Callithrix jacchus: one gene and its partner. The protein of the gene in region 1 purifies or fractionates together with the protein of each later gene. This does not show direct contact. Links are inferred from orthologs where the notes say so. Each region holds a gene or a part of one and is shown in the gene's direction. Other genes may lie near its edges.

Region 1 (3,013 bases):
AGAAATTAGCCAGGCGTGATGGTGGGCACCTATAATCCCAGCTACTTGGGAGGTTGAGGCAGGAGAATCACTTGAACCAGGGAGGCAGAGGTTGTAGTAAGTCCAGATTGCACCATTGCACCCCCAGCCTGGGCAACAAGAGTGAAACTTAGTCTCAAAAAAACAAAGTATTTCACAAATGTCTGAAGATAATGGAAAGGGTTGTCAAGCTTAGGATTTTGATGTTGTCATTTGAGAAGAGTATTAAAGATTAAAGATATTTTATTAATGTGGGCTGGAAAAGAGGAAAGTCTAAGCATGAGGAGGAAGTGGGCTGTTAAATATGAAAGGCTGTATTCACTCACAGTGTGCCAGGAACTGTATTTCAGGTACATCAATGAGGAAATTCTTAAAGTCAATTAAAAATAAATTGGTCATATAACCCCCTTATTTAATTTCATGGAGTCTAAATTATCTAGGACCCTGCCCAGGCTGGAGTGCAGTGGCACAATCTCAGCTCACTGCAAGCTCCGCCTCCAGGTTCAAGTGATTCTCCTGCCTCAGCCTCCTGAGTAGCTGGGATCACAGGTGTGTGCCACCACACATGGCTAATTTTTTTTGTATTTTTAGTAGAAAGGGGTTTCAACATGTCGACCAGGCTGGTCTTGAACTCCCAACCTTAGGTGATTGACTCGCCTCAGCCTCCCAAAGTGCTGAGATGACAGGTGTGAACTACACCGCCCAACCTAAGCCTCACTCTTGTGAGTTTTGTTATTTTTTTCCCTCTGAGAAACTAGATTAAAAATTAGGTAATGAAACAATTCAGGGATGGTAAATGGTAAAGGCTGCCTAGAGTGTGTGGAATGACTTTGAATCCTTATCTAGGAAACAGGGCTGGCAAGTTCTACATGTGTGCTATTCCCATATCTCTGCTCTGTTTGATTTTTACAATGGGGGAAGAAAAGAGAATCTTTACAAAAGACACCCTTGCTTTTATTAAACCAATAAACAATAGCCTGCTTTGGTACATCTACTGATTGGTGATTTGAAAAATGTAAATATGTGTCATATTTTATGCAGACGAGGAGAAGACCTTTTCATGTGTATGGACATACAGCTGGTTGAAGCACTGTGTGGCTTCCAAAAGCCGATATCTACTCTTGACAACCGAACCATAGTCATCACCTCTCATCCAGGTATGGTAACTAGGCAAGCTTAAGCTTCTCTTTTCTATTCTAGTATTTTCCTTGTCTCCTGATAACACAGTAGAGGGAAACGCATTGTTTTTCTTCCTTGGTTACGTACCATTTCCTGGGCTGAGATGAAGTTATAAGGTCTTGGCTCTCTTGTCTGCCCTTAAAAAACCCATACATGAAAAGTAACAGGATTGTTTTGCCACCTAAGTTTTACTTCTGCCAGTGAGCTAGGACAATGCTCTCTGTTCTTTATTTTCTCTGCTTCATAAAAATGTGACCATACTTAAAGAAGAACTTGGCTTCAATGTTTTTAGGTCAGATTGTCAAGCATGGAGATATCAAGTGTGTACTAAATGAAGGCATGCCAATTTATCGTAGACCATATGAAAAGGGTCGCCTAATCATTGAATTTAAGGTAAGCTGTAAAGTACTTTATATTTGAGAAGAACAACTGGCTTACTAAACTCTGATTTTTAAAATAAAAAATGTAAAAATTTCAGCCAGGTATGGTAGCTCATGCCTGTAATCCCTGCATTTTGGGAGGCTGAGGCAGGAGGATATCTTGAGCCTGGGAGCTTGAGAACAGCCTGGGCAACCCGGCCTTAGAAAAGATAGTGAAACCCTGTCTTTTTTAAAAAAAAAAAAAAAAAGAGAGAGAATTAAAATTTCTGAATGCCAAGCAATCTGAAGTTTATATTTTTCCTTACCCAGCAATTAATACACTGATCTGGTTACATGCCTCTGGCACACGCCTATGATCCCAGTGCTTTGGGAGGCCTAGACAGTTGGTTCACTTGAGCTCAAGAGTTCAAGACCAGCCTGGGCAACATGGCAAAACTCCATCTCGACAAAAAGTACAAAACTTAGCCTGGTACGGTGACATGCACCTGTAGTGCAATTGTTCTTCTCAAGGTTGAGGTGGGAGGATTGCTTGAGCCTAGGAGGTCAAGGCTGCAGTGAACCAAGATTGTATCACTGTACTTCAACCTGGGTGGCAAAATGAGACCCTATCTCGAAACAATTTTATCTAATACTACTAATGTTGAGTGAGCATTCTTTGTTAACCAGGTTGAGGATGGGGTATTTGCATCATTAATTGGATACTTAAAGACAGATTGTGGGAAGGGTGTGCTGGACAAGTGGCTATTTTACTAATTATAAGTTGTAACTGTTAAAGTTTAGAGGCACTTTATAATTGCAGATTTCATGGCAAAATAGTGTAATGCTTGATTTGTTAATAGGTATAAAGCAATCCAGTCAATTTCAGTCTTAAATTGGCCTCTCATCACAAAAGATATTAATTAAAACATCTTTTTTTCCCCATTATTGAGAGGGAGTTTTGCTCTATCGCCCAGGCTGGAGTGCAGTGGTAAGATACTGGATCACTGCAATCTCCGTCTTCTGGGTTCAAGCAATTCTGCCTCAGCCTCCTGAGTAGCTGGGATTACAGGCACCTGCCACCACACCTGCTGGTGTTTTTAGTAGATGGGTTTCATTTTTGAGTTTTTAGTAGACAGGTTTCACCATGTTAGCCAGGCTGATCTCAAACTCATGGCCTTGGGTGATTTGCCCACCTCGGCCTCCCAAAGTGTTGAGATTACAGGCCTAAAAATATCTTTGGATAAGAAAGAACTACCCTTTTGAGAGTAAGAGTAGCTTTCTTAAATACCTCATGAGAAGAGTTAGACTGTTTCAGGACGGGTTTTAGTATTCAAAGTTAGTTTGCTGGATAGAACAATGGTGGTTATAAGTACAGTTTTATTTAATACAATCTTTTTTTAATGAAGCCTGACTTTTGGTCATAATCCTTGAACTCTAGTTGAGAGTGCGCTATGCAC
Region 2 (3,913 bases), about 37 Mb from region 1:
TGAGAGCCAGAAGTTGCAGTGAGCTGTCATTGCACCATTGCACTCTAGCCTGCACAATAGAGCGACACCCCTTCTCACAAACGCCACACAAACAACAAAGCATAAAGCTGGAGGTATCACATTACCTGACTTCAAAATATATTTAAAAGCTTCGGCGGGGCATGGTGGCTCCACCTGTGATCCCAGCACTTTGGGAGGCCAAGGCGGGCGGATCACGAGGTCAAGAGTTGGAGACCAGCCTGAACAATATGATGAAACCCCGTCTCTACTAAAAATACAAAAATTAGCTGAGTGTGGTGGCGCGTGCCTGTAATCCCAGCTACTCAGGAGGCTGAGGCAGGAGAATCCCTTGAACCAGGGAGGGGGAGGTTGCGGTGAGCTGAGATCGCGCCACTGAACCCCAGCCTGGGCAACAAGAGCGAAACTCCGTCACAAAACAAAAAACAAAACCTTTGCCAATTTGGTAGAGTTGCGGGGCTTATTTTAATGGTGTCATGGAGGATAGCCTGGGGCTAGATATTTCTGGGGCCCTGTGCTTGTTCTACGAGCTAGGAGCTCCCTCTCTGGGCCATGTAAAGGGTGAGACTAAGCAGTGACAATAAAAGCGCTCGACAGTGCGGGACCTTGCCGAGGTGCTTATTAAGCAGGAGGTCCTTGCACAGGCGCAGAGGAGGGGGCGCCCCCAGACAGGCTGGGCGCCTGCGTGTGGGGGCGGAGCCAGACCTGACCTGAGCCAATCGCGAGCTAAGGTGAGGGTGCCACGCCCCTCAGGCCGCATATTAAATACGCAGAGAAAGGACGCCGGGGACACTCGCTTGGGGCCGGCTGCTCCCCTCTGGGCTCTGACTCTCAAGCTCTTGGGAGCGTTTGTGATTGGAAGCGAAGTCACTCTCGCCCGCGGTCCTAGCAGCCCGGTCCCTGCAGTGGGTCCCCCGGCGCGGCTCCTTTAAGAGCTCGTGGGTCGCCCACCGGAGGTCGCCCCCACGCCATGCGGGCGCTGCGGGCCAGCCTGACCCTGGCTCTGGGCGCGGGGCTAGGCGCGGCCGCCGAGAGCTGGCGGCGGCGTCGGGAGGACGCGCAGGCTGCGCCGGGGCTGCTGGGTCGGTTGCCAGTGTTGCCCGTGGCGGCGGCCGCTGACTTGCCCGCCGTGCCGGGGGAACCCGCGGGCCGCGGCCCGAGCGAGCTGGTTAAGTACGGGCTGCCGGGGCTGGCGCAGCTCAAGAGCCGCGAGTCGTACGTGCTGTGCTACGACCCGCGCACCCGCGGCGCGCTCTGGGTGGTGGAGCAGCTGCGGCCCGAGCGGCTCCGCGGCGACGGCGACCGCCGCGCTTGCGACTTCCGCGAGGACGACTCGGTGCATGCGTACCACCGCGCCACCAACGCGGACTACCGCGGCAGCGGCTTCGATCGCGGCCACCTGGCCGCCGCCGCCAACCACCGCTGGAGCCAGAAGGCCATGGACGACACGTTCTATCTGAGCAATGTCGCGCCCCAGGTAGCGCCCCCGCCCTGGGCGGGTCGCGGAATGCGGGGCCTCGGCTTGTTCCTCTGTAGATGGGGCAGCTGCCCACGCGCCCTCCGCATTCCGTGGCGGGAGGGAGGAGCCCTGGGCTCCCGGCTGCGGCTCTGCACGCCGACCAGGGCTTGAGCTCCAACTGCGAACCCTGGGCACCCCGGAGCGTCGCTTTCCTCGTCTGAAAAATGGGGCAGTACCGTTCTTCACCTTCCTCCCGCAGTAGTGATGCGGCGCTGAGGCTCACAGAGGCAAAGTGACGGACAGTGTCACACAGCAGAAGGCAGACAGTCTGGGTAGAACCCTAGCCCCCAACCTTTTTGGCCCCAGGGTCCGGTTTCCTGGAAGACAGTTTTTCCACGGCTTGGTGGGTCAGGGCAGGTTTCAGGATGATTCAAGTGCATTACATTTATCATGCACTTTATTTCTGTTATGATTACACTGTAATATAGAGTGAAACATACAACTCACGTAATGTAGAATCAGTGGGAGCCCTGAGCTTGTTTCCCTGAGACTAGACAGTCCTGTCTGGAGGTGATGGGCGACAATGACAGATCAGGCATTAGATTCTTAAAAGGAGCGCCCAACCTCCTCGCATGCGCAGTTCACCATAGGTTTCCGGCTTGTCTCCTGCCGCTACTGATCTGACAGGAGGCGGAGCTCAGGCTGCCATGCCAACGATGGGGCGTGGCTGTAAATACAGGTGAAGCTTCCGGTGCTCTTCTGCTGCTCACCTCCCATGTGGCCCAGTTCTGGTACCAGTCTGTGGCTCAGGTGTTGGGGACCCCTGGTCTATAAAACCGTGGGTCTCCAGACATCGTCCTATACTGCCTGCCTTGGATCGGTTTCGAAGCAGACACCTGGCCCACCGTCAGGGTGTTAGTGCCAAGCACTGTGCACCCTGGGCCAGCCACTCTCTTGACCTGTTCTCAGCAGAGCCCAGCACCAGAGGATGGAGGCTGCCGTGGGGCTCTGGGTGGAGCCCATGGGGTAGCAGCCTCTGACCCAGCCTCCTTCCAGAGCACAGCCCCCTACCCACTTTCCATTGTCCAAGGCCTGGAGAGCTCAAGATGGAGGCAGATTCATAACATTCCCAGCTAGGCTCTTCTGTGGCTCAGACTGGGAAAAGAAAAGTGTTGGTGGTTGGGAGGGCTGGTCTTCCCATGAGCCCCCTGGTGGGGCTGAGGACAGGCCTCAGTCCTCTCTGAAAGGTGGACACATGCCCCTTCCTTCATTCGGTTCTTGGGAGCTTTGACACCTGGGCTGTGGGAGGGACAGGTGATGGCTAGCACTCTGTCAGCCCTGCCCGACTCCATGTGGCTTCAGGGAGTGACTTTCATTTCTTGCTCCTCAGTTTCCTCATGTTTGCCCCCCACTGGGCATCTCTGGGCATGTCCATTCCCTCAGGGCCCAGTGCAGCCATCTGATAGAGGAGGAAGGGTCCCAGCCACAGTCCTGCTAAGCCCCACCTCCTCCTCCCAGGTGCCCCACCTCAACCAGAATGCCTGGAACAACCTAGAGAAGTACAGCCGCAGCTTGACCCGCAGCTACCAGAATGTCTATGTCTGCACAGGGCCACTCTTCCTGCCCAGGTGAGGTGGAAACCAGGAGGCTGGGGGTGGCAGGACCTCCCACTCACTCAAGGCCCCTACTGTCCCTCACAGGGCCAGGCTTGCCCCAGGCTCTGGGTCAATACCTGTTCACTATTCATCTGGTGTCTTGGCAAGTCTGTCAGCTTCCCTGCCTTTGGTCCCCTCATTCCATTTCCACAGCCAAAGACCTTTTGGGTACCCTCCTACCATCTCTCCTCTGGCCATGGGCAGCAGCAGGCCCTGGATCTGCCCCCACTTCTCCCTGCTGTCACCTCCTGCCACACCTACCCAATGCTGTTCTGCTCATATGGAAACCCCTGCAGTTCCCTGGTGCACCAAGCTCTCCCACCTTCGGTCTCTGCTCTGCTTGGAGCACTTTCCTCCACCCTTAGGAGTTTGAACCCAGATCTGCCTGACCCAGGGCCTCCACCCTTGCCTCCCAGGTGGAAGCGACTGAGCACCTCTGGCCATGCTCTGTGGTTTCTCTGGACTGCGGAGGCCTGGGACTGAGAGGCAATAGGTCGAGGCTGAGCACCTCACTCTGGAATCCATAGGCTCAGGATGGAATCCAGGCCTTGTCACCTAGTCCCTTGGTGCTGTGGGCAAATGACCTGTGTCCTCCCCTGCAAAACAGGGCCAAAACCTGTGACCTCTTGGTTGATGTCACATGCTTCCCCAGGGCCTGGCCCATGGTAAGGGGTTAGCACAGGTTGGCCAAGGCAGTGGTTGGGGCACTGATGAAATTTCATTAGAAGGTGCCTCCTATGACCTGCGGCAAGGGAGGAGACTGCTGAGGGGAAGCTCTCAT

Evidence for each region.
Region 2: the proteins of DNAJA1 (region 1) and ENDOG purify together in Homo sapiens (affinity purification with mass spectrometry; 3 studies listed by BioGRID and IntAct, counting the BioPlex papers as one, with this or other methods). This does not show direct contact. The link is inferred for Callithrix jacchus from reciprocal best matches to the Homo sapiens genes DNAJA1 and ENDOG.

The regions. Positions count from the first base shown.
Region 1 is NC_133502.1:140,228,473-140,231,485, forward strand, and holds part of DNAJA1 (dnaJ homolog subfamily A member 1), read left to right. Parts: intron 1-1,059; coding exon 1,060-1,175; intron 1,176-1,489; coding exon 1,490-1,590; intron 1,591-3,013.
Region 2 is NC_133502.1:177,413,348-177,417,260, forward strand, and holds the start of ENDOG (endonuclease G, mitochondrial), read left to right. Parts: upstream 1-806; 5' UTR 807-988; coding exon 989-1,495; intron 1,496-2,995; coding exon 2,996-3,105; intron 3,106-3,913. UniProt on the Homo sapiens protein: Endonuclease that preferentially catalyzes the cleavage of double-stranded 5-hydroxymethylcytosine (5hmC)-modified DNA.